4 linked regions of the Arabidopsis thaliana genome follow. The protein of the gene in region 2 interacts with the protein of the main gene of each other region in a pairwise test. Each region holds a gene or a part of one and is shown on either strand. Other genes may lie near its edges.

Region 1 (5,790 bases), on a different chromosome or scaffold from region 2:
TTGACCTTACACCCATCGTTACCCACCTCCTCGGCGATGAACAACTCCAGTTTCTCCTTCTCGTGTCGGCGAGAACATCGGCCTTGGAACCTTATTCAACGTCATCTCGTCTCTTGACAGTGACCAATTTGTTGTCCATTGATTCGTTCGTGGAAGATCCTTCGACTACCCGTGACCTCACATGTGCCATCATGCCTTATAGTTTGTGGCTCAAAGCTCTCATGAATTTTATGTCGTTTCACATTATCTATCATATCTTGGTTTTGGGGAATGCCTCTTTTAATTATGTTTTAAACTTTGTGATCTTTGAATCACTCCTTCTTATATTTGTTTTGATTTGAATAAATGAAAACAAATCTTTGCAAAAAAAAAAAAAAAAGATTATATCGACAATGATATTGTTTAAATATATCAGTCTACATTTATCATCTTCTCTGTTAGACTCGTCGTTAAATTTCTATTTTTTTAATAGTTTACACAGATGTTTTCATATTCTAACTATTTCTTTATATAATAAATTTGTATATCTAGTAGACGGATCTTCAAAAAAAAAAACAAGTTCTCCCCACATATTAATATCAAAAAAATTCTTAAATACCTTATCAGCATTTTAGATTTAATTATGAGCAAAATAAATGTTTAGAGATATGAAACTTAAATAATTGTATCTTATTCTCAACAATTAACGAATAACCAATTTGGAGACAAATCTATAAACTAATAAATCTTGCTTCTCTATAGGGTGCGCTTTTGTCCCTGTTACGTATGAAGTGACGTATAATCGTCTACTAAACTATTTTATCCGTACGACATCAGTTTCCTATAATATTTGTGTGACACTATAATAAAAATGAAAAATCATGTTCGTCGTATACCTGAATTAAGCAACGTATAATGAATAAACTTTCCATAAATACAAAAATACTCGATTAGTGGAGTGTGCATCGCCAACAAAAAAGATTCTACGCAACGTGTCGAATCAGTACTTGTTCCTGAGTTCCTCCGTCACTAACCAGTGCGGACCATGTCAGTATCCAAGCACCCACACGCTCGTCGTCTCTTGAAAACATCTCACACAAATACACAACGGCTCGGACTAATAACTTGCCATCTAAGAAAAGCTAATTGACCTAAGGCTTTGTGGCACCTGCATGTAAAAAGCAAACACGAATTTGCCACGTTATTACAAAGCATACCACGTCACCGTCTCACTGTTACACTATCTCTTGTTCTCCTTTATTTCGCTATGGACAACAAAAATTATAAGGTGGGGAAGAGATGTCTCAAAATACTTTTTTATCGTCCTCTCAATTTATGTAACTGATAATAATCGAAATAGATAAATTTAATTGTAGGTTGACAAAGCGCTAATTTTAATAAAAACATATATTAGTTTGGAAAATTTTGTCGTAGTAAGTAATTAAACCTATCAATCTTGACTAATAATTTCAAGTATCCCATAAAAATCAAAATTGTCCTTAGGTTTTGAAATTGTACTACTGATAGTACGTAATTAAACAAACAAAAGCTATAGCTTGTGGATTATAGCTAATCCCATTTGGCGATGAGAGTAATATATATATTGTTCAAATAAAGTTGTAATTAAGATTCGATTGAAAAGGTAAATTATAGTTTAAGAAAAACAAAGAGAGGAGACAACAATTAAAAAAATGAAAAGTGGAGAACTGTACTCTCGCCTATACGAGGAGGTCATTATCTCCAAGGCTCTCAAGGATTAAGGACCATGCTTTGATTCTATAAATGTTGTTTTATTCAAACTATTTATATTATTATATCATACGTAATATGTGGTTAGCATTTGACCCACGTCCCCTTAATTAAGTCTAGATTAATCCCATTAATCTATCCAATTAATAATTAGGAAAATTTTATATAAGATTGCTATTGGATTTCTCGGTGGTGGTTTAAACTATAAAATAGTAATGCCTTTGATGCGTGTGATTTTTTATTGGAACTTATTGGTTTTAATTCTTAACCTAGCAATTATATTTGTAGTAGTTTATGTTAATCATTGTTTAATAATACTCCTATAATAACTCTTGCAAGTAGCAACACTTGTGTGGCTATTTATTCCAGAGTCCATGGATATGTATGTATAAGAAAATAGGAGTGCTTTTGCAGATTGAAGAGTTTGTCTATAAAATCATGTTTACTTGGCATTTAGTGTTATTGTTTGCAATTTTTTATTTTAAATTAGTCGGATATTTTAAGTTAAAATCTGAATACACAGCATGTTCCTTCTAACGTTTTTTAACATAATTGTAAACTAAAGAAAAATTATAATATAATAAATTAAATTATACCCTCTCTATTCATTGTAGAAGATTTGTTTGTTTCACCAAATGTGTTTTTTTTTTATAAGTTGCTCTCACTCTTGAGAGTTTTGGAGTATTTTGAAGAGGACGAGGTTCTTTTGTGAAAAAGTGAAAGAAACAAATCATGTCAAGAATTAGAAAGAAATCATGACAAATAATTTTGTTTGTGCAGAAATTACAAATGAATCATAGATATCCTTCTAATTCGGGATCGGAAACCAGTTGAAAAATCGATGGACTAAGCTTTCTATATTGGGACTAGCTTACCCTTAGAATTAGTCAAGCAGCTTAAATCATCTATGACTTAAAATTATAATTAAGAAAAAACAATGCCTAAATATGCATATATTTCAAATGTATCACATAACTTGTGACATAAGAAAATATAAACAAAACAAAAAGGGCAAAAAAGACCTGAAAGCTTAGAGGCACACCTGCATAGGTCCCACAGTTCACTCGTGACACCGTAAAAGGCAAAACACGAACCCGCCACGTTATCACAAAAAGCAAGCCACGTCAATATAGTCTCACTGTCAACTACACTTAACTTACTATTTTCACATCTCATTTTCCTATCTTTATATAAACCCTCCAGGCTCCTCTTTAATTTCTTTACCACCACCAACAACAAACATATAAACCATAAGGAAAACAGAGAAAGAGAGAGATGGAGGACGACAATAGTAACAACAACAACAACAACAACGTGATCGCACCTTTCATCGTGAAAACATATCAGATGGTCAATGATCCTTCCACCGATTGGCTCATCACTTGGGGACCTGCTCACAACAGTTTCATAGTCGTTGATCCACTCGACTTCTCGCAACGAATCTTACCTGCTTATTTCAAACACAACAATTTCAGCAGTTTTGTTCGTCAACTCAACACCTATGTAAGTTAATTCATAACCGAAACTCATACATGAAACTGGAAACAGGGGATTACGAACTAATGATCCTTTCTTTATTTACTTTAGGGGTTTAGGAAAGTGGATCCGGACCGGTGGGAGTTTGCGAACGAGCATTTTCTAAGGGGACAGAAGCATTTGTTGAATAACATAGCGCGTAGGAAACACGCGCGGGGGATGTACGGTCAAGATTTGGAGGACGGTGAGATTGTGAGGGAGATCGAACGGTTAAAAGAAGAGCAGAGGGAGCTAGAGGCAGAGATTCAGAGGATGAACCGGAGGATCGAAGCGACGGAGAAGAGACCGGAGCAGATGATGGCGTTTCTTTACAAAGTCGTTGAAGATCCTGATCTTCTTCCAAGAATGATGCTCGAGAAAGAACGGACAAAGCAACAACAACAAGTTTCCGACAAGAAGAAGCGTCGTGTCACGATGTCGACGGTGAAGTCAGAGGAAGAAGAAGTGGAAGAAGATGAAGGGAGGGTCTTTAGGGTTATGTCATCATCAACACCGTCGCCGTCATCAACGGAGAATCTTTACCGGAATCATTCACCGGATGGGTGGATTGTTCCTATGACGCAAGGACAGTTTGGTAGTTACGAGACGGGTTTGGTGGCGAAGTCGATGCTCTCGAATTCAACGTCGTCGACGTCATCATCTTTGACGTCGACGTTTTCTTTGCCGGAGAGTGTTAACGGAGGAGGAGGAGGAGGATGTGGGAGTATTCAGGGAGAAAGAAGGTATAAAGAAACGGCGACGTTTGGAGGAGTGGTAGAGTCAAATCCACCAACAACACCGCCTTATCCATTTTCTCTGTTTCGAGGTGGCTTTTAGCGTTTAGCTTCACATGATATATGATCTTTAGACTTTATTATTGTTATATTATTATTATTATTTATTTTTTGTGTGTTTGTTCTTAATTATTTTATGTATAACCAAAAGAAAGAAAGAAAATAAGGACAGATCCATAGTTGAGTCAGTAGTCATCGTTTGTAGAAAGTTTTGACAGTATATAATTTCTGATTATATTTGTTAAAAGTTCATATGTTGACTTTGTTTTCCTTTTAAAAGTACTTTCAGGTGACTTGTGTAATATATTCACACTTGTAATAACAACAATTTTGATCTTCTTCACTACTTCAGTGTTTTGATTTTTGAATAAAGTATTATTGTAGCCTTATATCTTTGTAATAACAACAAAATATAGGCTTTACTTTTTCCACTTTAAGCTAGTAATTAAGTCTATATACCATTTCAAATTTATCGTTAATGGCCATCTTTAAACTAAACCATATCGAGTATTTGACTCTTTCTCTTGAAACACTTGTTCTCAAACACATTAACGAATCAGTTGACATGGTATATAGACTTACTAGCTTATATAACCCACATGCTTAAAGCTGATCATAAAGTAGAAGAAACATTGCCTATATATAACCCACGTGGTTAAGGCGACACAAGTCGGTCGACTGATAACAAGTCAACGAGACATCCATTCAAGATTCAAACGTATCATCAACACGACGCTCCACTTTCACTTTCATCTAAAATTGATAACATGACATTGTTAAATTTTGAGACGTGACAGTTAGCCACGGGACTTTGGTCGGCCAACAACGTTTCGAACACTCATTGGGCTAGAGAGAGAGAGAGTATAAAACAACGATAAATCTAAATTGGACCACCTGATGTCTCTCACACGAGGACGCGTGGTTATACCAGATAATCGCAAAATCTCTTGTAAGATGTTCGGGTCCATACTTTGATTGTCGGCTCTACGATACGCTCATACGCATACATCATATAAAGTTACTATCACAATTTTGTTTTGTTGTTTATGATTGATTTTTTAACACTTCGATAATACTTATGTTTTCTTTTGTTAAAATACTTAAATAATATTATTAAAGTTGTAAAGATTCGTAACTTTATAAAGTTTTATGATCTTTTACTCAATTTTATAAATTAAGTATTCACTTATTACTTTTTTTTTTTTGTTAAAAGACTTGTTTACTTATTTGTGATGTAGTTAAGAATTATCTTTTATATTAATTTATGAATAATATTTTATATGTCTTTAAAAAAAAAATAGCGAAAAATTTCTCCAACTTAATAGGAGAACAAAGTTGAATAATTTTCTTCTTAATAGGATATTGAATGGTCTAGTATCCATTAAAAACTAAGTCGGCCTAAAATATTTTCATTTTATACTATTAATTAGCTAACAACATATACTATTGTTTATCAAAGAAACAAAACATACTATTGGTTGTGGATTAGCTAACCTTATTTAGTAATAAGAGAATAGTTTTTCTTGTCCAAATCAATTGCGTAAGACTCGACATAAATGGAAATATATACTTAAAAAAGGAAAAGAGAGAATAGTTGTAAGTTGACAAAGGGCGAACCATCTCTTGCCGGTTGGAGGAAGTCATTGTCACTTAGGATCTAGCGAATCAAGGACCATTCTTTGGTGCTATAAATTGTAGTTTTATTCAAGCCATGTAACTTTTTTGGATTTTTATAATGCACCTAACATGTGGT
Region 2 (9,052 bases):
GACTTCGAATCGGTTAAATTTAAATGGAATTTCAATGTTCCAAGGGTACGTGTACTTTGTATTACAGATACAAATTCCCCATACTAGTAGATATGTAAAATCTTAATACTATGAATATGTGAAACTGAAGCAATACAATAATCTCTATACACTACTACTTCTTGTCAAGTTTTCAGCATTTGGGTGATTGATCTATTTTAATTCAATCAGGCTCATTGAGCGGGCACGGAGGACTGTTCGTGGCTCGGCAGATGACATAGGATGGTTACAGCGTGCCCCGGAGATGCCTCCTGTTGAAGATGGAACTGATAGGTTCAATAAAATTCTGGAAGACATCGGGTATGAATTGGTTGTAGTTGCATGTTTTGTGTGCTTTGTGGCCTTTTCAATATGCTGTTTAACATCCTGTTTTTTACTAAATGGCTGCGTTGATCTGGTTTTTATATCCAGGCATGGTGTACACAGGCTTCCAAATACAGTGGTGTACTTATTGGTTCCAGGTAGCAATTCTTATTCTTTGCTGCCAGCCACTTAAACTACATTACTGTATATTAGGACTCTCAAAATTAGTTGAATTTTTTTTAGGTCTTTTCAGCAATCATGGACCTCTATATTTTGTGGATACGAAAACGAAATTCTCAAAGATGGGTTTGGCGTGTCATATTGCGAAGATTCACAGCGAGGTAATCATAACTAACTCAACTTAGTACAGTTACATTTGGTGTATAGCATACTAATATATGGAGAAATGTTTATATATCAGTCCTCGGTTGAGAAAAATGCGAGAGAGATAAAGGAATACATAGAGGAACTCTGTTGGGGATCTAATAAGCGGGTTCTACTTCTTGGGCATAGCAAAGGAGGCATAGATGCAGCTGCTGCTTTATCACTATACTGGCCTGAACTAAAGGATAAGGTCGCTGGGTTGGTACTGGCGCAGAGTCCATATGGTGGAAGCCCAATAGCTACAGATATCCTCCGTGAAGGACAACTAGGTGATTACGTCAATTTGAGAAAGATGATGGAGATTCTAATCTCCAAAGTCATAAAGGTTTGCAACATTCCTGATCTAACAAAGTCATTTCAGTTGCATTATATCAGCTTCTTGTGATTGCCTGTTAAAATCCTTAGTTAGGTGGAACCGAGAAACTAGGGATAAACCAAAACTTATTTTGTTTCTGGATTCTATTGCTCTGCTGATCTTTCTGATGAATTCCTTGGAACATTGTGAAGGGTGACATTCAAGCATTGGAAGATTTAACATACGAGAGAAGAAAAGAATTCTTGAAGAATCATCCGCTTCCCCGAGAACTCCCCACGGTTTCATTCCGCACAGAAGCTAGCATTAGCCCAGCGGTTCTATCCACTTTATCACACGTAGCACACGCTGAACTTCCTCTGACAAACCAAGCCGCAAAACTGCCAGTGGTAATGCCACTTGGTGCTGCAATGGCTGCTTGCGCTCAGCTACTTCAAGTCAGATACGGTGAAAAGAGTGACGGGCTAGTGACTTGCTGTGACGCAGAGGTTCCTGGTTCTGTGGTTGTTAGACCCAAACGTAAACTAGACCATGCCTGGATGGTGTACTCTTCCTTGAACGAGGTTCCTTTAGAAGCTGATGCTGCTCAAGTTTGTGAAGCGCTCTTAACTTTGCTTGTCCAAGTTGAGCAAGAGAGGCAACAAAAACTCGCAACAAAAATCGATTGATAAACCAAATTGTTTTATTTCTACTTTCGTCTTGAGACTTCAAATTACTGTATTTGTTTCTATCTTTTTGTTTTATTTCTTACTAATTTACTATCAGGTTTGAATCACACGATAACAAAAAAATTATTACAAACGGTAGATTTTATATTTATAAGACTACTTAATTTGCTTCTTTTTTTTTCTTTTATTGTTGATTAATTTTTATTAGAAGATTAGTTATGTTTTTCTCTCTATTCCTTTAACGAACCGTGATCGTGCGGCTCGGATCGTTGGAGATTCTATGGACGGCCGATGCTTATATACTGTAAGTGGAATATGTAATTCCCGAAAGTGCCCTCCAGATGTTCACAAAATTACGCCATCGTACTCGAATTAACTTCAACTCTCTCTTCTCTCTCTCTTTCTTTTCACTCTTGTTTTTGTTTCTGTGAGTGCTGTGTGTGTTCTCGGTTTGTAATATCTAAGTCGCACAAAGATCAGACAAAGTCTGTTTGCGTTTGATAGCATTAGAGTCTGATCGAATTTGGAAGACCTGTGAGATTAGGGTTTCTTTTTGTTTGTTTTTTTTTATTCCGAAGGAGAGCTGCGGAGCAATTGGAATTACCTCGGTTAAAGCAATCACGTAGCTTTGGATCGTTTAGGGTTTTCTCATTGGGTTTGGGGGATTTGTATTCGAGCTTCCTCAAACTCAATCTGATGGTGATGTGAGACAAGGCTTAATCCTGTTAATTGGCGATTCTAGGGTTTTTCAATGGCGAGCACAGGCGAGCCTGACCGTAAAAGGCGTCACTTTAGCTCCATATCACCTTCTGAAGCTGCAGCCGCCGTAAAGAAACAGCCTTTCTTTTGGCCCTCCTCCGAGGACAAGGTTTCTTTCTTCTTCATCTCCCCCTTGTGCATGCCCTTTACATCTATTCTCTTACTTATCCAATCAATCATAGCTTTCCAGCTATTAGAGATTCATATACTGAATGTCTTTTGTCTCGAATTTGGTCTATTTTGGAATTGGGATTCTCTCTCTTAAGGAGTTTGTTTTCGTTTGATACAGCTTGATACTGCAGTTCTTCAGTTCCAAAATCTTAAGCTATCACAAAAGCTAGAGGCTCAGCAGGTTGAGTGTTCTATTCTTGAGGATAAACTCTCTCAGATCAAGGAAAAACAATTACCATACAACTCCAGTTTGAAGACTGTCCATAAGTCTTGGGAAAAGGTAACACTGAATTTGCTTTCGATTCTAATAGAACTTGGATTAGATCTCTTTTTCTAGAGAACTAATTAATGCTTGTATAGCAGCTTACAGCTTCAGTGGAATCATGCTCTGTTCGTGTGAGTGATTCAAGCAGCGGAGCTCATAGGTTTGTAAACAAGGAGGGTATGAACAACTTAAGCCCGCCTTTTCTTCGTTCTGTTAGTGCTAGGATCTAGTTTAGATTTGGTTTTATATGTTACAAATATGACTTTTTGAAAGGTTAACTTTAAATTGCTACACAGATGGGTCTTCTCCAGCCGTGAAAAACGATTTCATCAACCGGCTACTTGAAACTGGTGCTACTGAGAGCTCCTCATCCAATATCTGCTCGAATCAGATGGAAGAAAATGGAGTGAATACGTCAAGCCAGATGACGCAAACCTTGTATAATCTAGTAGCCGCGACAGAGGATTTGAGGTGTCTGAAGGATGAATTATATCCCACAGTTCTCAGAACCAATCTTGGTAAAGGTATGACTTCCACTGCGATCAATTGTCAGCTCTTGTTATGGCCTTTATAACATTTTAGTATTAACCCAGGTCCTATGTGGAATTGCTTTCTTTTCTAGATTTGTGCGGTCAGCTAGCTCTGAGTGAGTTGGAATCAGAAATTAAAAGTTTCAGAGGGGATCTAGATGATGTACTTGTGAAGTTCAAATCACTTTCTAGAGAATTGCAGAGTCATCGCGATGCTGATGCTAAAGTTAGAGTAGACCTCAAACGAATAAGAGGTAGCTACTTAGTCTCGTCTCACTCGACTATATACTGTTAAAATGGATTTTTTAATTGGCATTGTTTATATGGATATAGTATTCATGCATCAAATGTAAATTTGTAATCATATACGTGGCTTGACAAAAAAAGGTCCTATATACATGAAAAGCTACTGAAATCATATCTCGCTTTTGATTGATGAGGATAAGTGTAAGTAGAGGTGATCAAATTGTGAATCTTCCAATTCCACGCCTGTGTATTTATGTCCAGCACTACTCAGTTGTTTAATAGCCATGATTGGATTTAGATCATAGAGATTAAGATTGAAGAGAGAGATACATTAAGACTGGAAGAAAACCTCTATGGTAGAGCCAGCTGTTAAGAAGACATGTAGCTGTGGAAGATATACTCATTAGCGAACTGATGGGTGTACAAAACCCTTCTGAGACATGAACTTCTTAGTTTTCTTTTATACCATTTACCCATATTTATATATTTCGGTAGATTTTAGGAGATAGAGAAGCTGGTAATTCTTTGAGAATGACATACATCCACATAAGTGAAGCATCTTAATTTTGTTGATAAATTACCCGTTTACCTTAAGATGTAAGATTTCAATACTGACAGTAGCCACAGTTAAGAAATTCAAAGAGTTAAAATTTATTTTAGTTTACATGCCTGCTTTTGGATTAATGCTTCTTGACTACCGCATCAACTGATATTATACTTTATTTGGTCTATTCGAAGGGGAGCTAGAGGATGAGGTTGTGGAGCTTCAGCAGTGTAATGGTGACTTGTCAGCATTGAGAGCAGAAAGGGATGCAACAGCTGGGGCGTTTTTCCCAGTGTTGAGTCTTGGAAATAAGCTTGCTACCAGTGATCGGGAGAGGGATAAACAAAGGGATCTGCAAGACATGGAAACAGTTCTGAAAGAGTTAACGGTATCTTTGTTTTTCTGATTTGTTTTCATTGGTAATTCTTTAAGTTTTGGGTTGATAACGGCCTGGTTTCGGTAGGTCCTGGCTTCAGGCAGGCTACAACAGCTAAAAAATCTTCATGAGGAGAGGACAAAGATGCTTGGAAAAATGAGTAATTTACAGGTCAGTGTATTGATCCAATTGGGGTATTTGTATTAGTTTGTCTCTGTATGGGGTTTGATATATGAAAATTTGTGGAATGGTAGCCTCTTCCTATTGCTAAAACTGATGTAAGAGTTTTCTAACAGAACAAGTCAAAGTCTGTGAGGTGCATCTCATCTTCTCAAGCCTGCCTTTCTTTGAAAGACCAGCTAGAAAAATCCAAAGAAGCAGTTTTCCAGTATATGGCTTTACTTGAGAAACTGCAGGTTATATCTGGTTTGCGATTTTCATTTTGTATCTATGTTTATAAAATTTACGTTGTATATTTAGTTGTGAAGCTTTCCTCCATTCGAAAATTTCAGGTTGAAAAAGATAGTATAGTCTGGAAGGAAAGGGAGATAAATATAAAAAATGAACTAGGTGATGTTTCTCGAAAGACGTCTGCTGTTACTGATTCTAGAATGGCTTCTTTGGATTCGGAGATACAGAAACAACTGGATGAAAAAATGCGAATCAAGACTAGGCTGGGAAATATATCAAGAGAGCGAGGTCACAAATTGATTACTTTGACTTCCAATTCTGTATCTCCCACCCACACCTGTTTCACTTTGGAGTCTGATTAAGTTATTCGTATGTCAGGTAGAAAAGAAATCTTTGCAGATATGAAGGCATTAATTTCTTCGTTCCCCGAGGAAATGAGTTCCATGCGTAGTCAATTAAACAATTATAAAGAGACTGCTGGAGGTATTCATTCTCTGCGGGCTGATGTCCAGTCCCTCTCTGGGGTTCTATGTAGGAAGGTGGGAAATAATGTGAACAGTGATTGATGCTTATTGTTACAGTTTATGTTATGCTTACTTAATAAGCTTAATTGGTGAACAGACAAAAGAGTATGAAGCATTGCAATTGAGATCAGCTGATTATGCTTCTCAGTTAGGTGACCTGAATGCTACGGTATGATGCAATGTATCTACCTTTTTCAGTGTACTGCCCATGACTTATATATGTTGACAGTGTTCATATTGGTTATTGTTACTTTGCATTATTTCTTGGAAAAAGTATAGTGAAAAGGCGGATTAGCAATTTAAATCTTGTTAAATGTCTTTGGTTGGCAAAGTGGTAGTTGTTATGTTCTTTACTTTCAATTGATTGGAGTCTGTCATGCAGGTTTGTGATTTGAAGAACAGTCATGAGGAGTTAAAGTTGTTTCTGGACATGTATAAACGTGAGTCCACTGATGCGAGGTAAGCACAACTATATATAACGATATCTAAGATTTCAATTCTTAGAGAAAAGTTTCCTTATCTTCCCCTTCTCACTGTCCAAATATATAGTATAACAACAAGTGCTGTTATTAATCTTGCCTTCTGACTGAACTATCGAATCTTGCTGAAAGTTTGTTGTTAATTTTTCTTGCGTTTCTGAAGAAACTTATGTTCACATTTTCAATTTATCCATGACAGCTTTTAATATCTGATCTATTTTTACAGTTCCATCTGATAAAAACTCTTTTGGATGTGTTAGGATTTGTTTATCTTCTTATCTTGACTGAACACATTATTATAATGCGGTTGGTATATTGCCTTAAGCATCACTGTCGATAATGTGCTATGGCAGGGACATAGCTGAAGCCAAGGAACAGGAGTACAGGGCTTGGGCTCATGTTCAGAGTTTGAAATCATCCCTTGATGAGCAAAATCTGGAGTTGCGCGTTAAGGCAGCAAATGAAGCTGAAGCCGTTTCCCAACAAATGTTGGCTGCTGCGGAAGCAGAGATTGCTGATTTAAGGCAGAAAATGGATGATTGTAAAAGGTAAATAAGTATAAGTAGAAGTCTGCAATTTATAGATGCAATCACGCAGTTCTTCCATAGGAATTCTTTGAGAGTTTTTTGTTTGACAAGGATAAGTCTTTTCTGTTTCAGGGATGTCGCCAAGCATTCTGATATCTTGAAATCTAAACATGAAGAACATGGAACATATCTTTCTGAAATACAGGTTGGCTTATGAAATTTCGTGTTTCTTTGTTCTTAACATATTTTAAAAACCTTGATGTTGCGTATCGATTTACAGTAACTATATTCTTTTAGACAATTGGAAGTGCCTATGAGGACATTGTACCGCAAAACCAACAGCTTTTGCTTCAAGTTACAGAGAGGGATGACTATAACATCAAGGTATCGTGTCCAAACTCTTCTAGTTCCTCTATCTGATCTATCTCTGTGACTTCTCACTTACTCTTATATCTAGTAGTGTTACATTTATTCAGAGATTGATGGATCGTTTTAATGGGCATGGACCAATTTCTGTGGTTATACCTTGTATGTTTTGCTAGAATATCATGAAAAAAAGGATGGTTTGTTACTTGGATCAGACAATGAGATGTAATTTTTTGCTCGCCCATTGTTGTTTCAGCTTTTCTTGGAAGGCATAACTTCTAGGCAGATGCAAGATACTCTGCTTATCGATAAATACATCATGGATAAGGATATACAGCAAGGCAGTGCATATGCCAGTTTCCTATCCAAGAAATCATCAAGAATTGAAGATCAGGTATATCTGTGTGTGCCCGTATGCTCAAATTGTAAGCCTCCTTATTGTGAGACTTTGACTAAGGTGTTTTTCTTTTTCCTTGCAGTTGAGGTTCTGCACAGATCAGTTTCAGAAACTAGCGGAAGATAAATATCAAAAGTCTGTTTCTCTTGAAAATCTGCAAAAGAAACGTGCAGACATCGGGAATGGCTTGGAACAAGCTAGGTCAAGGCTGGAGGAGTCCCATTCTAAAGTTGAGCAAAGTCGGCTGGATTATGGGGCATTAGAACTGGAACTGGAGATTGAAAGGTAAATCAATTGCTCCCTCCATCTTCTCTATCCTAATTAATAGTCATAAACAAGTGTTAGTGATGAAGGTATCGTTCTTTTCTGCGTATATCAGGTTCAATAGGAGAAGGATAGAGGAGGAAATGGAAATAGCCAAAAAGAAAGTTTCTCGTCTTCGGTCTCTCATAGAAGGATCATCGGCCATTCAAAAGCTCCGACAAGAACTCAGTGAATTTAAAGAAATTCTGAAGTGTAAGGCCTGCAACGATCGCCCAAAAGAGGTAAAGAGTCACTGCTCTCCATTATTTAGATCTCAGCAAGACGCTCAAATCATGATCCCTTGAATCTTTTAGTCAACTGCGTGCGTGATTGCTGATTGGTTTTGGTCTTTGGCTTAACAAACTAGGTGGTGATTACGAAGTGCTACCATTTGTTCTGCAACCCATGTGTGCAAAAGCTCACAGGAACTCGACAAAAGAAGTGTCCAACATGCTCAGCAAGTTTTGGACCAAATGATATTAAACCTATCTACATATGACCGCACCAAAACACTCTGAGCATGATGATGTATGATGAAACTGTGAAACACACACAGGTACTTTTTCTCATATAGGATAAACATTAGATCTCTCTGTAATTATTACTCTCTTTTATTGGGAAAGGTCATGAAGAATAATTGGATATGGCAAATCAGAGTTTTTGAGGAACCATTTTGGGATTTTGATAATGTGATAGAGAATAGGTAACACTGTTAGGGTTTATGTCTTTGGTGATACTTCCTTTTTGTTTGTAATTTGGAACATGGTTTCCGCAATTGATTTTTCAATTAAATCTTCTTTTTTGTTCTACATTTGTGTATGATCCAAACGTTTGTGATGTAGTGTTCTAAGATTCTCAATTTAGAAAACACGAGGCAAGATTTTGGATATTTGTACCATTTGCGATGAATTGCAATCCAATTTGTTTGTTGGCATCTCCAAAGACTTCGATCCTTGGGATCATGATTCGAGATGGTCTTTCACAATCCTAGGTAGGAATTACAAGTATTTTTGGTGGATCTCCAATGACCTTAAATATTATAAGTGAATTTAGTACTAGTGTTTCTCTCTGTAACTACGGTTTGTAAAAGTGGGTTAAAACCAATAGTTGAAAATGTAAGAAAAAGACTAAAATCATTTCATGCATTATCAATTTTGAGCTTTAACATACAACTTCGGAATGTACCGTAAAAGTATTTTAGATGGCCTCAATACCATGTTTTCCCAATAATACTTGCTCCTTTAGCCCTTTACATTTCAAGTATTGCAAGTGTTTCCTCTTCCCGCAAGACATGATCATTGGTATTTGCCGCACATGTTCTTTTTCTCTTTTCTTTCTTTTAAAAAAATGGCTGAGAGGTGAAAAGAAAGAGTTAATTTATTTGAACAATATGCTCTTAATTATTTTCTTCTTCGTATTGTTATTCTCTTCTGCTACTGCTTTGAGT
Region 3 (9,476 bases), on a different chromosome or scaffold from region 2:
ATTTATTTGAAAAACATATGTTGGCATGGTACATGAACCAGCTCGTTCATATGAAAATATTTTAAAAAGTCAACATCAGTGCTAATTTCAAATTGACCATACATTAGCACACAAGAAGACTAACAAAAAAAATGAGTGAATAAAGAAGAGAGTGAGTGGGGTTGATACATGTCACCGTCCAAAATGTGTCTGACCCTTCTCATTGGAGCTACAAGAGCCGACCCTTTGCCTCATCATTTGTTGACTTCACTCTCCTTTTACATATTTAAATTATAACTTGCTCATATTTCCATTCATTGTGTTCGGTTCTAGATTGTTCCATCCACTTTCTTTTTTCTCTTACTTTGAAATTTAGAAATATATGAATACTTGACAAATATTTGAATATTGTAACTGATTTGTTTGTTCGTAATACTTGACAAACTTTTTTGAATATACACCTTTACATATATTTTGAGTTGAGATAAAAAGGGAATTATGTTAGTTTATGGATTATATTATGTAAATACCACATCTAACTATGATCGGATGAAAACTAAACCAGCATATCTCTAATCAGTAATATTTACTAAATTTATATATCATTAAAGATTTTTTGAATTTAGCAAAAAAAGAAGAAGATATCATTAAAGATTTTTAAATTTAAAGTATAACATAATGAATAAATCAAGTGTTGAGCTTAGTTTCGCGTTGCAAAGATGTTCATTTGATTTTTTTTTTTTTTTTTCCATTTGATTTTTCTTATACTAAATTGATTGATGTCACGGTCCTTCTGTGAAAAAAGTATATTGTACTGTATAAATTTATAATAGTCATACTTGAAGATAACTAATATCATTTTCTAAAGGTTTTGTTGACAATGAAATGGGTAATGATGAACATCTCGTTTGCTAAACCACAAAAGAAATAATTCGTTGGACTATAACTTAAACTTATAATATATCAACTGAAATGCCTACAATTTGAGAATACGCCTTTTCAAAAAGTTTTAGAATTTTATAAAAATTTCTCCACCATAATATTACTTTAATAAAAGCTTGTTATTAAAATGATATATTAACAAAAAAAAAAGAGGTAGGCAAAGTAGCTTTTATTAAAATTAATGTTTTCCCTAATTGGTAAATCATAAACCAAAAAATTGAGGTAATTCTTAATATATTTACTATGATTAGAATGATACATTAATGTAACATTTTATCATCTTCATTAATAATAGTAAGTTCTCCTCAAAATTACAATTTGATATCAAAAAATATATTTGTATTACAAGCAATTACTGAAAAATTAAAATTACAATTTAGCCCAGTTACATAACTCCACGTAAGGTTTGAGCCCATCACATCACATGGTACATGACCAAAGCCCAGTTATGTTACCATGGAGTATTCTTCAGACAAGAGCCATCCAGACAGAAGTGGACCACACAATCACGAATCGTATGGAGATCATTACAATATATTGCTCACATCTTATTGCGCCACGTCTCTTATTTGGCGAGTGATCAACGTCCACAGATCTCTTGCTCCACTCTGATTGGTACACGTCATCATTTTATTGTGCTACTTGTTTATGTGGTACAGTAGAGACAAGTGGTAAGATTTTAAAATATCTTAAAAGATGTGTGAGGCCCATTTAGATATTTTCTCAACGGGCTGTTCCTCAAAAGCTGCCCGTTTATCTACAACCATCGAACGGCTCGAAACTATTCTGGGCTAGCTGCCCGAAATCTCTTAAAGGAATTTGTTGAGTGGGCTTGAATCAACGGTGGATAATTCGAAGGTGTACGTAACATCTCGTAGCATCTGAACTTAGCTCCCCTCAAAATATCTGTGGACATATGTCACTAGCTTTTTTTTTGTGTAATGAAACTATTAATTAATTAGGCAATCACATGAGAGATGTTATATACTTAAATTAATAACTCAATAATACAATCATGACCACCAAACCTTGAAATAAAATAATCTCTCTGATTACTTGTACAAATTCTTTACCAATATATGCCATACTGTGAATGTAATGGTTTATTTTAAAACAGCCAAATATTATTGATATAATTATATGTTTAAGTAGATTTTAAACTTAGCTCATGGTTAAAAATAGACAGAATTTTGGAGTAAATCTGAGTTTACAAAATTTATTTATTAGGATTAAAATTAATTACTTAAATTGGCAAACATTTTTCTTGGTGATTGTAACATACAATATACGAATTTGAATTCGCATTGTGATTCCAAAACAACACTAACATAAACTACCAGTAAAATTTTTTAAAATAAAATTTCATATATATATGCTTAAAAAATGTAACAAAAATATGGTAAATTTTTTAACCATGGTATGGGTGGAGATGTATGTGGGATGATGATGGTTATATGGTAATGGCGCATAAAGGTGGTGGCAAAGGCAAGGAAATATCGATGACACGTAAGCAGACGGGAAATCTTAAACCGAGTGGAGAAGCCTCCAAATCTCTTTTTTCTCTCTCTCTCTCCTAAGGCCACCACAATCTCTTCTTCTGTGTATGTATTCTTTTTTTCTCCGATATTCGTCGATCTCTCAAAAATATCCTCAAAGCCAAAAAAAAGCAAGAGTAGAGATAACCAACCAACAAACTCATAGGAAGACATATTTACTTTCAGGTCTTTCTTCTACTACCTTTTTCGTGGTTTTTGGTTGATTGATTCTCAGATGAGATTTTTTCCCGAATCATTTGATGTCTTTTTTTTTTAAATAAGTTCTTGGTAAATCACTGTTTCTACTAGCATTTTTTGTTTTCTCAGCTTAGATTTGTTGTTTGATTTGACATCTTATCTGATTGAGATTTTGTTCTTCTGAATTGTTGTTACAGGGTTTAGCTGTTTGATTCAGCTTCGATTTAGTGTACAGTGTGTTGATTAGTATAAAAAGGATTTAAAAGAATCTGGGAGATGTGTATAGTGATTGTTCTTGCTGGCGAATGTTAACACTACGTCGTATTGATTCTCGATTGATAGTAGAAGAAAGGTGTTAGTTAGATTGTTCGTTCATCTAGTTGGGGTTTAGTTTCGGTTCCTGGATGGCTAGTTCATCTTCATCTGAGAGATGGATCGATGGTCTTCAGTTCTCTTCCTTGTTATGGCCTCCGCCACGAGATCCTCAACAACATAAGGATCAAGTCGTTGCTTATGTTGAATATTTTGGTCAATTTACATCAGAGCAATTCCCAGATGACATTGCTGAGGTACTTGATACCTAATGAGTTTAATAAGAGTATTCTCTTAGTAGTGACGTTTTGATTCATGTATAATTTATCTGTATCAGTTGGTCCGGCATCAGTATCCATCAACTGAGAAGCGACTTTTAGACGATGTGCTGGGTATGATCAACATTTATGATCCACACTTCTCTTTTTGTGTGTGAATGTCTATCTGATTTTCGTTTTCTGATGAAACAGCGATGTTTGTCCTTCATCATCCGGAGCATGGTCATGCAGTCATTCTTCCAATCATTTCATGTCTTATTGATGGCTCGTTGGTGTACAGCAAGGAAGCTCATCCGTTTGCCTCTTTCATATCTTTAGTTTGCCCAAGTAGTGAGGTATATAATAGCTGTCTAGTATCATGCTTACTGATTTGGTGTAACCTATACCATTTTGTGCTAACATGTTCACTATCCTAACAGAATGACTATTCGGAGCAATGGGCTTTGGCATGTGGAGAAATCCTTCGCATTTTGACTCATTACAACCGTCCCATTTATAAAACTGAGCAGCAAAATGGAGATACAGAGAGAAATTGTCTGAGCAAAGCTACAACTAGTGGTTCTCCGACTTCAGAGCCTAAGGCTGGATCACCAACACAGCATGAAAGGAAACCTTTAAGGCCTTTGTCTCCATGGATCAGTGATATACTACTTGCTGCTCCTCTTGGTATAAGAAGTGACTATTTCCGATGGTAAGTAGACTCTGTTACTGATGCTTCTATGTGTTCATGCGCCGGCCTCCTTCTTTTATTTTGGTCTCTCTGCTGAGGTCTATGTATTGAGGTTCTGTAGTGGATTAAGCTTACTGACAACTAAAAATGTTGCTTATTATTTACAGGTGTAGTGGTGTAATGGGTAAATATGCTGCTGGAGAGCTCAAGCCGCCAACCATTGGTGAGTTCAAGAATTCCATGTTAATATCCCCTGGAACTGGATTTTGATGATAATTCTGATCAATAGAGTTGTTCTATCACTTCGTTCATAAATGTGTATCCATCACCTGTGGCTATAGAATGTGTTTTGAGTTGCTTCCTATAACTTTCATGTTGTCCTACTTTGGCAGCTTCTCGAGGATCTGGTAAACATCCTCAACTGATGCCTTCAACCCCAAGATGGGCTGTTGCTAATGGAGCTGGTGTCATACTGAGTGTTTGTGATGATGAAGTTGCTCGATATGAGACTGCTACGCTGACAGCGGTCGCTGTCCCTGCACTTCTTCTTCCTCCGCCAACGACATCCTTAGATGAGCATCTAGTTGCTGGCCTTCCAGCTCTTGAACCATATGCACGTTTGTTTCATAGGTATTGTTTCTGGGCTTACCCTTTCAATTAGGGTTTATTGGTAGTAGTCTGTTGCTAGTTTTAAGGTTGTGCTTCCTCGAATCCCTAGATCAGAATTGTTTTCTCACTTTCCTGTTATACTGTCAGATACTATGCCATTGCAACTCCAAGTGCTACGCAGAGACTTCTTCTTGGACTCTTAGAAGCACCACCGTCGTGGGCTCCAGATGCACTTGATGCTGCTGTACAGCTTGTGGAACTCCTTCGAGCTGCTGAAGATTATGCATCTGGTGTAAGGGTAAGCGTAATATGAATCTCTTAATTACCCTCCAGAAAGCTAATTGTGTCCCTTGTTATAAAAAAAGTCAGCTTTGGTATGTCATCAAAGAAATCAGCTTTGATCACATTCTTTTTCTTGGTGCAGCTACCCAGGAACTGGATGCATTTGCACTTCTTGCGGGCTATAGGAATTGCTATGTCTATGAGGGCAGGTGTTGCTGCTGATGCTGCAGCCGCTTTGCTTTTCCGCATACTCTCACAGCCGGCACTGCTTTTTCCTCCGCTAAGTCAAGTTGAGGGAGTAGAAATTCAGCACGCGCCTATTGGTGGCTACAGTTCAAATTACAGAAAACAGGCATGGTTCCTCTTTATATTTTTCTGCTATTCCATCTCTGATATGCGATTGGCATTCTACTAGAAAATTATATTGAAACTGACTCATTTCATCTCAACAGATAGAAGTTCCTGCAGCAGAAGCAACCATTGAAGCCACTGCCCAAGGAATTGCCTCAATGCTTTGTGCTCATGGTCCTGAAGTTGAGTGGAGAATTTGCACTATATGGGAAGCTGCTTATGGTTTGATCCCTTTAAATTCTTCGGCGGTTGATCTTCCCGAAATCATAGTTGCTACCCCACTGCAACCTCCTATCTTGTCATGGAATTTATACATTCCACTCCTCAAAGTACTTGAATATCTTCCACGGGGGAGTCCTTCGGAAGCATGCTTGATGAAAATATTTGTTGCCACTGTGGAAACAATACTCAGTAGAACTTTTCCGCCTGAATCTTCCAGGGAACTAACCAGAAAAGCTAGATCGAGTTTTACCACAAGATCAGCGACCAAAAATCTTGCTATGTCTGAGCTTCGTGCTATGGTCCATGCTCTCTTTTTAGAATCATGCGCTGGTGTGGAATTAGCTTCACGCCTACTTTTTGTTGTGTTGACTGTATGTGTTAGCCATGAAGCACAGTCTAGTGGTAGCAAGAGACCGAGAAGTGAATATGCTAGTACTACTGAAAATATTGAGGCGAATCAACCTGTATCTAACAATCAAACTGCTAACCGTAAAAGTAGGAATGTCAAGGGACAGGGACCTGTGGCAGCATTTGATTCATACGTTCTTGCTGCTGTTTGTGCTCTTGCCTGTGAGGTTCAGCTGTATCCTATGATCTCTGGTGGGGGGAACTTTTCCAATTCTGCCGTGGCTGGAACTATTACAAAGCCTGTAAAGATAAATGGGTCATCTAAAGAGTATGGAGCTGGGATTGACTCGGCAATTAGTCATACGCGCCGAATTTTGGCAATCCTAGAGGCACTCTTTTCATTAAAACCATCTTCTGTGGGGACTCCATGGAGTTACAGTTCTAGTGAGATAGTTGCTGCGGCCATGGTTGCAGCTCATATTTCCGAACTGTTCAGACGTTCAAAGGCCTTGACGCATGCATTGTCTGGGTTGATGAGATGTAAGTGGGATAAGGAAATTCATAAAAGAGCATCATCATTATATAACCTCATAGATGTTCACAGCAAAGTTGTTGCCTCCATTGTTGACAAAGCTGAACCCTTGGAAGCCTACCTTAAGAATACACCGGTTCAGAAGGATTCTGTGACCTGTTTAAACTGGAAACAAGAGAACACATGTGCAAGCACCACATGCTTTGATACAGCGGTGACATCCGCCTCAAGGACTGAAATGAATCCAAGAGGAAACCATAAGTATGCTAGACATTCAGATGAAGGCTCAGGGAGACCCTCAGAGAAGGGTATCAAAGATTTCCTCTTGGATGCTTCTGATCTTGCGAATTTCCTCACAGCTGATAGACTCGCAGGGTTCTATTGTGGTACACAAAAGCTTTTGAGGTCAGTGCTTGCAGAGAAACCGGAGCTGTCTTTCTCCGTTGTTTCACTGTTATGGCACAAACTGATTGCTGCTCCTGAAATCCAGCCCACCGCAGAAAGCACCTCTGCGCAACAAGGATGGAGACAGGTAAACCTCAGCACTTCTATTTCCCAGCTCGCTTACAGTTTCCTTGGTAGTTCTTTACTAATCCAATTAAGTCGCTCGACTTCATACACTGATCATATTTTTTATATATCAGGTTGTTGATGCGCTATGCAATGTCGTATCTGCAACGCCAGCGAAAGCAGCAGCAGCAGTTGTCCTTCAGGTCCAAATTACTCTTTGACTTTTTATTTCATTTGTCAGGAATGCAACACCTGTGTAAAGATTAAACTGCGGAAAACCTATGGCCTGTGTTAATGTTTTATAATGCTTGGTTCACTCATTTGATCTCTCATGAATTTATAAAAATTAAGCTTGGAATTTATATGCAACACTTGTTTTAATATGCCAAGGATAGGAAATAAGGAAGAAAAAATCTGTGTAAAATAATGGCTTGTTTCAAGCTCATATGTTGAAGGATTTACTCTAATGCTCTATTGTCTGAAATGGTCTTGTGTTATTTACAGGCTGAAAGGGAGTTGCAGCCTTGGATCGCCAAAGATGATGAAGAAGGCCAAAAAATGTGGAAAATCAACCAACGGATAGTCAAAGTGTTGGTGGAACTCATGCGCAATCATGACAGGCCTGAGTCACTGGTGATTCTCGCAAGTGCATCAGATCTTCTTCTGCGGGCAACTGATGGAATGCTTGTTGATGGAGAAGCTTGTACATTACCTCAACTTGAGGTACTGCACTGTTATAGATTGCTCTTCAATGCCCTTCTTCGGGCTAGAGTAATAATCATTTTCTGATTCCACTGTATTTTAAACTTTTGCAGCTACTTGAAGCCACGGCAAGAGCAATACAGCCGGTGCTAGCTTGGGGGCCATCTGGACTAGCAGTGGTCGACGGTTTATCCAATCTATTGAAGGTAAAAGCAGAATCGAACAGAGCCTATGGTTTCCTGCGTCGATTGTAGATGATCAGTAGTAGGTCCAGTTACCAAAGTGCTTAACCTTGTTCACATCTTTTTGCTTCTATGCAGTGTCGTCTACCAGCAACAATACGGTGCCTTTCACACCCAAGTGCACACGTACGTGCCTTAAGCACGTCAGTACTACGTGATATCATGAACCAAAGCTCCATACCCATCAAAGTAACTCCAAAACTGCCAACAACAGAGAAGAACGGAATGAATAGTCCGTCCTATCGATTCTTCAACGCCGCCTCAATAGACTGGAAAGCCGATATCCAAAACTGTTTAAACTGGGAAGCTCACAGCTTGCTCTCCACAACTATGCCTACTCAGTTTCTCGACACTGCGGCTCGGGAACTCGGCTGTACTATATCCTTGTCCCAATAACGAGCACCCACTTTTGTTTTTGGTAAATTTTAGTTCTCTAGACAAAACATTTGGACGTAGACCAAGAAGAATATATATATAGTTTGTTGTATGTAATGTTGTAATGATGAGTGACTGACGCAATCACTCCCACCGGCGTTGGATTTGCTCTCGCTCGGTGTCTTATATAACTCAACCTCTTCTCTGTACATTTTAAATGACGAAGTAGCTCAATCTTTTTTTTTGTGCGTCTGGTGTTTAGTCTTCAGTGGATTCTAAATCGTAATGTATAGAAGTGAAAAATTTACAAATTTACTTATTTCCGAATACTCTTAAAACAGCAAAAATTAATATTGCAAAAGATAATTTATAGTATTTTAATCTTTTTCCTCCAAAAAAAACATTAAAGGGTAAATTAGTAATTAACTACAGGAGCTTCATATTAGGTTGGAAAACCCTAAATATGCCGCTTATAACAGACCTGAGCTTAAGCTGTGGTGGCGCCTCCAGAGTCTGGTAAAAGAGCTTAATCCTCCTCTCGCGATCTTTCTCGGCATCCAAAAATGGTACGATTATCGTTCTTCAACTCTTGTCTGGTTCTCCAATTGCTCGTGCTTCATTTTGCGTATCGCTCGTTTTTCATTGCTGGTTTTGGGATTGGAGTTTTAAGCTCAAATGTTTTTTGTATTCCCTTACACGATTTGCGACTGACGGATCTGTTTTTTTTTTTTCGTATTCGTGTGTGTGTAGTCTCTAGTTGCGAACGAGGAGTTTCAGCATATTCTGCGTGTGCTCAATACTAATGTCGATGGGAAGCAAAAAATTATGTTTGCTTTGACCTCAATCAAGGGTATTGGAAGGCGATTGGCTAACATTGTGTGCAAGAAGGCTGATGTTGACATGAACAAGAGGTTTGTTTCTTAGCTTGGTTCTTAATACTTTCAGTTACTTAGGAATTCTATGGATAAGGATTATGAATCTTGCGAGGTTTTGGATGTTAGTAGAAAATGTAGCTCTTTGACTAGAATTGTACCTGCTCGATCTGGTTTGATTGATTTCTAGGAAATCAGATATTTAGGTTTTCTTTGCACATAGAACTTCTCTAGATTGATATTCTTGAAGAAGTTTGGTCTAGTGTGTGTTTTTAAATGTTTTTTCCTTTGCTGGTATATTCAGGGCTGGAGAACTAAGTGCTGCTGAGATTGATAACCTCATGACAATCGTTGCTAACCCTCGCCAGTTCAAGATCCCAGACTGGTTTCTTAACAGACAAAAGGATTACAAGGATGGGAAATACTCCCAAGTTGTTTCCAATGCTCTTGACATGAAGTTGAGAGATGATCTTGAGCGTCTCAAGAAGATCAGGTAACAAACAACACATACAGACAC
Region 4 (7,186 bases), on a different chromosome or scaffold from region 2:
GTATCCTACAACATGGGGCAAATATGGCATTATTATAGATTATACATAGAATATTATAGTCTTATAGTTAGAATAGCTAGTTAGTTAATATAAGTTTTTTTTTTGTTATACACTCAAATTTCCCAAAATACAAATAGTTGAAAACTAAACTAAGTGTCACTAAATCATCTCACCAACAACTCTACACTAAAATTGTTTTTTCTCACCTTTCACATGCAATTTTCTTAATTTATATATATATATATATATATGATGTTATATTCTTAAAAAAAAATTTCAACTCAACTTTCATTAATTAGATTAAATGTAATCAGAGTGAAGTAGAGATGAAATACATCTTGGAACATAATAAAAGAACATAAAATCTTGACCAATTCGTGATTGATGCTATATTTTTAATTAAGTTTTCAAAAATGACTAGTTTTGCAAAAAACTCTTTAAAAACATTAGTAAAAAAAAAAGGATGATGATGCAAGAATTGGAGCTAATCCATCCTTTGATCACTTGATGAGCAAGAGTTCCAAACTTGCCACGCGGAAGGTGGGATGATGAAGGTGGTGATCTAACACGCTGGCGATCGCTTCTCTCGTGTGGGATCGATTCAAGGGGAATTGATGGGTAGTTGGGTGATTGACTCGCTCAATCAGTTGGGTAATCGACTCACTCGATCAATGAACGAATGAAGGATGTTGAATCACTCAACAAACTTAATCCGCAGATTCCTGACGTACTTCATGACTCACTCACAAAGAACTAAAGAACAAATGACAAAGACTCAACTTTGACAAGAAAACGTTTCTGTTACTTTAAAATGATCAAGGGTTGCTTTACAATGAATGAGAAATCAGCTTATATAGAGCTGAATACAATGTTCTAAGGCATTAATGAAAGAAACAAAACATAAATGAAAATATTGGACATTAATTGTAGAATATGTCCAAATAAGGCAAGTGAGATGTGCCTTGTATCTTGTCAACTTGGGGAGGAAGTTGTGACGTCTTGGAAGGTTCTGGAGGGTCTCAAGATTCTCACATAAGCGCACAAACAAAGAAGGAAAGAGTTGTTGGTAATCGATCTCCTTCGGCTCCATATATGGCAAGTAGTAGCTCAGCGGGTTCTTGTGTGGTAAGATGTACCAAAGTTCGTGTGGTATAAGTCTTGTGTGGTCTAGATGTTCTCCTGGTTTCCATATGTAGCTTTGAGGTGCGTCCAAGTGTAGAATAAGGAAGATTTCCTTGTTTGGCTTCATTTCGTGCGGTACTTCAGAAGGTAGTTTCAGCAAGTAGTTCAGCCGGTCTGTTAGCAAGTACATCAAATATATGTACTTTTGATATCTTCGAATCATTTGCTTGGTAAATGATTCCTTGATGACTTGATGTTGCCTCGTTAAAAACCTTTCTAGGTAAACCCATTGGGACAAACCCTAGATAAGGGAAAAAGAGTGCAACGGTCATATCCCCACAATATGGTGACTCGGCTCGCTGGTCTTTGACCCTTCTTGAATCATCATTAGTCTTCTTAGAATTAATTTGCTGGTGAATAATTAACCCTAGGCCTTGTGCTTGATTGAGACTCCAATTGGGCAAGAGTCCTCCAAAATGCTCTTCATCAATCGGTTTGATAAATGTACCGGCTGATTTGGTATGGTCCCGGTTTGGTTTAATTTGGATGTCCGCATCAGATGACGAGTGGGTGCAAAGGGAGAATCTTTAACTTAATCTTTCGACAATAGTTTTTTTTTTTCTGGTAGTGATTCCATGACCTATGTATTATGATGTAATGCTTTCGCATAAGTCATAATATATGCCTGAAACCGTGTTCGAAGCAAAGATGGTTTTGAGACTTATCAACTATCGATGTTTTACATTTTGTGGATTTTGTTTTAGCTTGTGGAAAGGCATGTAAGAATCCATTAGATCAATTTGGGTTTTGTCTTTCAAAACCATACATTTCATGCCATATAAAATAAAAAAATGGAGCAACACCTTTTCAGAATAGCATTTTCCTTTCACACATTATTAAATAAAAACATTAGTGAGAAAACAAAAAAACAAAATACACCGAAAAAAAGAGAAAATAAAATGAAGGGATATTTCTGACTAGGAAGTCTCAAACTCCCCGAACGACATAAGACATTACAAAAGGCGTGAAAACAAAGAAAGCTATAAGTAGCAAACTGATGTAGGGGAATTCAAAACATGAGTTGTAACAAGAAAGCAACGAGAGGTTGTTATTATGTGGCTAAAGCTTTTGGATGTCTTATGGACCGAGACGATAAGGTCCATCACCCATGTAATGACCATCCATGTACAGAGCTGCGTGGTGCGGGTGCTGCAGACCATCCATCACCATGAACTGCATGTCTTCAGATGGTTTCCAGTGACGCTTTCTTTGGTTTATGAACCAATTGTTGATTTGTTTCTGATCTAACCCCGTTGATTCCGCCAACGCTACCTTCTCTGACTCCTGCCACACAACTCAAACCAACCATCTTCATTTATGTAGTAATCAATGTATAAAAAGCAATGCTAGAGATAATCGAAAATTATTTTTAAATGATTCTAGACATAAAAATGGAAAATGACCTAAAGTTTGTTGTTTTGAACGATTCTCTAAGTAAAATGACTAACTTCATTTTTCTTTGACATCAAGTAACGACTAACTATATGTTGTCTTATTATCTTTTTAACAACATGTCATTTATATTTACCAATATTAAACATGTTTTTTTCACTATCATTACAGTCGGTTAGATTAGTTATTTCATTTCAAACTAATTAAAACTACAAAAAAAATTAAATTGTTTCAAAATATATGGATAAAAATTTCATCACAAACTTACATTTTTTAAAAAAAAGTGATTGATATACGTGTTAGAAAATAGTATGTTAAGGGTTAGAACACCATGACTAAGATATGTATCCTAGTGACTAATTCTAGTGTTGTGAGCATTCGGATTTAAAACCATGTTGTTGGAAACCGTACAAGGATTTAAACACAAAATCGGTCATGCAAGTACCTACTTGGCCTAACATAGCGGCTTCAGAGGGAATTGCTAGCTTAAAGATAGGTTTTTAAAACACTTAATTTGTAGTATATATTTTAAAAAATATGAGGGCAAAGAGAGATGAGAGAAAATTTATACGTACAGAAGGATATGGCCACTTGTAATGCAACTCCCACCACGTGAGAAGCTTCTGCCGTGCTTCTTTAGGAAGTTTACCTTTCTTTTTCTTCTTGGATAGTTCTTGCTTCAAACTGCTTAAGTATCCACTATACTTCTTCAGCAAATGGTTCTTGAGTTCCCGATCTTCGGCCCTCGGGTCTATTTCCGGTAATTCTGTTTCCCCTCCGCTGTTATTCTCTTGTTCTTCGTCTGATGATCCCATATTGTCACTCTTCCCATCTGCTTCAACATAATATATTTCATGAAGTTAAATGGTTTAGTCATTTAACAACATTCTAGTCATCTACCTTTATGATTAGACTAATTAATCCGAGTAGAGATTTTGATGTTTTAGCATAACGAAATCGAAGAAGATAATGTCCCAAATAAATCTTCACGAGCAGCACCAAAAGTTCTTGTGATAGTACTTTTGGGCCGAGTGAAAAGAAAAAAAACAAAAATAAGCCCCACCCATCTTTGGATGGATTCCACAATGGGGAAAACAAGAACAAATATGCACACCTATTTGTATCTTACATACTTTCCAACAATAATGCATCTCAATTATCTTAATTATCTTATAATCTTAATTAACATTTGAAAATGTATGTAGACTATGATTTTTTTTTTTTTTAATATCTCAATGTTACAACAATTTACCATGAACCAAAGAAACATGCCAATTTATGCAATCCATCATTAGCCCTACCTTGCCACTACACTTTGTTTTCTCCAGCCATTTCTTACATGTGCATATATGTATGTATATGAGATTGATGACATGTACCAGGATTGTTGAGGATGTGAATGGGACTCTGACACAACATGCTAAGCTGAGATTCAATACGACGTATAAACTCCATTGCTTCCTGAATGGGCCTTGTTAGCTCCTCACGATATTTAACCAACATGTCACAGTATGCTTCCTATTCATACCAAAAAATAAAAAAGGAAAATCAAGACTTCTAACACATATACACACAAAGAACCGACCCATTTAATTAAAATTCAACTTTGGTTAGTAATGAACCATGAATTGATCTAACTCCGGGTCTCTAGAGGAGGCAGAGACAGACGGTGTTGACCGCTGTTGTCGAGCCTCAAAGTCTTGCCGTGCCGCCGTAATTCTATCAACCACATCAGGTGGAGCTCCAATCTATATAAACCATGACCCATGAACATACATATATATGTCACACATAACTATATATTATATCTTTAAAAAAAGAGTATATATTATAACATAACAATAAGAATAAAACCAAACCTTTTGGCAGTCCAAGTAAGCTTGTAGGAGGGTAGAGTAGTGAGGATGAGCAATGATTTTAGCCTTCATGGCTTCAACATCGCTTACGTTGTCATTGTTGTTGTTGTTAGCTTCTTGAGTATTGTGGATGGCTCTCATTAACATGGAGTAATGATTGATTCTTGAGGAGCTAGCTTCAGATTTAACAGATGGGTTGTTGTTGTTGTTGGGTTGATCATGATCAGATCGGAAGCAATTCTCGGTTGTTTGAGGGAGAAGAGAGCTCATATGTGGAAACAACATGTGTTGGTGGTGATGATTGTTGTTGTTAGTATTATTGTAACCAGGACCATAATTGCTACTATTATTATTGTTGTTGTTGTTGTTGGTATCACTTGTGTTATCGTTTTTGTTGGAAGAAGAGATTGGAGAGTACAAGAAACTTACTCTTTGAGGAGTGGTGCTGTTGTCATGCTGGTATTCTTCCATACCCAGATGAGTAAAGATTTGAGAGAGAGAGAGAATATAAAAATCAAAGAAAAAAAATAAATTAAAAAAAAATAAAACCCTAGAAAAATAAAAAAGGATGGGTGTAAGATGAAGAGGATGTATGTATTCTTGCTTTTGTTCTTATTTCAATCAAAGGTCTCTGTAAGACTATAACCACATCAAATCCAGACGACTAGACGACTCATCTATGAAATCAAAAAGGCCTAACTCAAATTAATATAAAAAAAGAGAGAAAATTTTGTGAGGTGAAGTTGCACCCAAAGAAAAACCAAATAAATTGAAAAAGATATATTTGAGGAAGAAAAAACGAACTAGGTATATAGAATTCGTCAAGGAAGTGACATGGAAGAGAAGAAAATAAAAAAAAAAAAAAGAGAAAGAGAGAAGAAGAGAGAAAGAGAGAGAGAGAGAGATTAACAATAATGAAGAAGTTGGGTGGCTTGAGTGGATTGACAAGACGTCGTTTGCTTTGGGAGCAAAAAGAAATATTTGAAAATTAAAATAAAGGTAAGAGAGAAGGGACAAGAGATAAGGCAAAGGCTTCTCTCTTCTGTTTTCCTCTCATAGGCTATTTTATACATTAGAACAAGACTAAGTAATTTACTTAATTAAAATGTGGTTTATAATATTCGAATTAAGATGAACCACTCAGTGTTTAAGCAACTAGGTCTTCGCGGCTACTTCAGGCTATGGTTTCTTGCTAGGTTGAATGATATATTTTGTACTATTTTCTAGTAATGAAATGTTTTTTTTTCTTAAAAGAATAGTCAAGAAAAAAGTTTTAAAAAAAATATGTATGATTTATATATACTTCTAATACGATATAAACCCAAGAATTTGTAGTCTAGTGGTTGAACATAGAGTTCGTTCAACAAATTGTGATCATGTGTCACATTATAATTCTATACTTAGGAGAGGGGACTACGTTTATCTTGTTCTGGTCCTCGGTTTCACTGTACGGGTTTCTGCCTAAAACTTACGGATAACAAAAAAAGAATTATAAACAATATGATAGAAATGTACATATTTGATGCAAGACTTGGATGTTTTTGGAGTTTAATCAAATCGATGAAATTATAATTTTAGTTTTCGTAATTTCGTATGTATATTAGTGGAGAGATCACACTATCCGAATATTTGTTATCGGATAGAAGATTACATTAGAAACCGAGAAAAAAAAAAGGAATTATAAAAATGCTTTACAGGATAGTGGATATTATACGATATTCTGCTAATTTCCAACTATTGGCTCTATGATAAGACCATGCTGCAAACACACTTCTTTCAACACTTGTTCTGTTCCACGGTCAACATTCAATTTTCTATTTAATCTCGATTTATATTTCATGATTCATGAGACGTATAGAGTGCCTATGAATTCATTTTTATACAAAAAGAAACGAAAATCCTAGGGTTTTATTTATATATAAATCGTCAAATCCTAGGGCTCTAGATCAAAAAGTTGGCTCATCGATAGATTTTTTTTTTTGTTTACCTCATCACTGCACTAGACCGAAACTTACATTGTGACTTGTGAGAGTTTGTAAACAACAAAATGTAAGATTTCTTACAAATTATGACTTGCTATGCCGGAAATTTTGATAGTAAATATTTAAATATATATGTATACATATATTATTTCTTACTATTAAAAAAATAAAATCAGCTGCTTAGAACCAATATTATTAGAATTTCATTAAAAAAAATCGAAAATGTTAAAGGTTAAATTTTTGCATTCGAAATGTTTTCTTTTCCTTTAAGACCTCCTCTTATTTTCTGTTTCAGTATAAGATGCTGAAACATTGACATCATAAAAGATCATTCATTAAGGGTACATCTTTGAATTAAATATCATAATATTCCAAAACACAAGTGCAATAGACTAAAAACACACTATAAATAAGTCTCTGATCCCAATATTCTCATTAATATGGTCATGCAAGAAGAATATATATATATATATATATATATATATATATAAATAAAAATATTATAATACCCATAACCATATGGATCTAATTTCTTATAATTTTCTATTAAAAAAAAAATTGTTTTCAAAAGTGTGTACAATTTCATAGAATTCTATCTTTTAGATTAGAAAGTCAATTATAACAATAAAATAAAACATTCAATTTATTATATAAAAATTCACCGGTAGGCATAGATTGTTCTCTAAATTTATTAATAAACTCATTTACTCATAACTATGTAACGACTTGTATGAGGTTATCTAAACCTGCAATAAAACACTCAAGAGATACACT

Evidence for each region.
Region 1: the proteins of HUB1 (region 2) and HSFC1 interact in binary tests that used the Arabidopsis thaliana proteins (3 or more experiments, as listed by UniProt).
Region 3: the proteins of HUB1 (region 2) and GI interact in binary tests that used the Arabidopsis thaliana proteins (3 or more experiments, as listed by UniProt).
Region 4: the proteins of HUB1 (region 2) and KNAT1 interact in binary tests that used the Arabidopsis thaliana proteins (3 or more experiments, as listed by UniProt).

What each region holds. Positions count from the first base shown.
Region 1 is NC_003074.8:8,938,452-8,944,241, forward strand, and holds HSFC1 (heat shock transcription factor C1), read left to right. Parts: upstream 1-2,614; 5' UTR 2,615-3,003; coding exon 3,004-3,231; intron 3,232-3,260; exon of another isoform or gene 3,261-3,315; coding exon 3,316-4,080; 3' UTR 4,081-4,423; downstream 4,424-5,790. Other genes in the region: AT3G24514 (uncharacterized protein), read left to right, coding at 473-498; AT3G24517 (uncharacterized protein), read right to left, coding at 1-56, 101-190. UniProt on the Arabidopsis thaliana protein: Transcriptional regulator that specifically binds DNA sequence 5'-AGAAnnTTCT-3' known as heat shock promoter elements (HSE).
Region 2 is NC_003071.7:18,541,654-18,550,705, reverse strand, and holds HUB1 (histone mono-ubiquitination 1), read left to right. Parts: upstream 1-2,053; 5' UTR 2,054-2,458; coding exon 2,459-2,575; intron 2,576-2,755; coding exon 2,756-2,917; intron 2,918-3,000; coding exon 3,001-3,079; intron 3,080-3,198; coding exon 3,199-3,426; intron 3,427-3,524; coding exon 3,525-3,686; intron 3,687-4,416; coding exon 4,417-4,610; intron 4,611-4,685; coding exon 4,686-4,769; intron 4,770-4,894; coding exon 4,895-5,014; intron 5,015-5,110; coding exon 5,111-5,297; intron 5,298-5,387; coding exon 5,388-5,548; intron 5,549-5,630; coding exon 5,631-5,702; intron 5,703-5,915; coding exon 5,916-5,992; intron 5,993-6,365; coding exon 6,366-6,560; intron 6,561-6,671; coding exon 6,672-6,744; intron 6,745-6,836; coding exon 6,837-6,923; intron 6,924-6,999; coding exon of another isoform or gene 7,000-7,035; exon of another isoform or gene 7,036-7,159; intron 7,160-7,161; coding exon 7,162-7,299; intron 7,300-7,384; coding exon 7,385-7,587; intron 7,588-7,681; coding exon 7,682-7,847; and 4 more. Other genes in the region: AT2G44970 (alpha/beta-Hydrolases superfamily protein), read left to right, coding at 1-45, 211-339, 451-500, 586-683, 764-1,051, 1,234-1,707. UniProt on the Arabidopsis thaliana protein: E3 ubiquitin-protein ligase that monoubiquitinates H2B to form H2BK143ub1. H2BK143ub1 gives a specific tag for epigenetic transcriptional activation and is also prerequisite for H3K4me and maybe H3K79me.
Region 3 is NC_003070.9:8,059,340-8,068,815, forward strand, and holds GI (gigantea protein (GI)), read left to right. Parts: upstream 1-2,411; 5' UTR 2,412-2,642; intron 2,643-2,851; 5' UTR 2,852-3,058; coding exon 3,059-3,223; intron 3,224-3,303; coding exon 3,304-3,358; intron 3,359-3,436; coding exon 3,437-3,579; intron 3,580-3,663; coding exon 3,664-3,935; intron 3,936-4,081; coding exon 4,082-4,137; intron 4,138-4,306; coding exon 4,307-4,544; intron 4,545-4,670; coding exon 4,671-4,821; intron 4,822-4,947; coding exon 4,948-5,157; intron 5,158-5,257; coding exon 5,258-6,790; intron 6,791-6,902; coding exon 6,903-6,971; intron 6,972-7,272; coding exon 7,273-7,491; intron 7,492-7,583; coding exon 7,584-7,676; intron 7,677-7,790; coding exon 7,791-8,108; 3' UTR 8,109-8,451; downstream 8,452-9,476. Other genes in the region: PFL (Ribosomal protein S13/S18 family), read left to right, coding at 8,651-8,653, 8,838-8,998, 9,264-9,452. UniProt on the Arabidopsis thaliana protein: Involved in regulation of circadian rhythm and photoperiodic flowering. May play a role in maintenance of circadian amplitude and period length. Is involved in phytochrome B signaling. Stabilizes ADO3 and the circadian photoreceptor ADO1/ZTL.
Region 4 is NC_003075.7:5,145,710-5,152,895, forward strand, and holds KNAT1 (homeobox knotted-like protein), read right to left. Parts: upstream 5,451-7,186; 5' UTR 4,902-5,450; coding exon 4,434-4,901; intron 4,323-4,433; coding exon 4,197-4,322; intron 4,093-4,196; coding exon 3,954-4,092; intron 3,407-3,953; coding exon 3,150-3,406; intron 2,467-3,149; coding exon 2,260-2,466; 3' UTR 1,990-2,259; downstream 1-1,989. UniProt on the Arabidopsis thaliana protein: May play a role in meristem function, and may be involved in maintaining cells in an undifferentiated, meristematic state, and its expression disappears at the same time the shoot apex undergoes the transition from vegetative to reproductive development.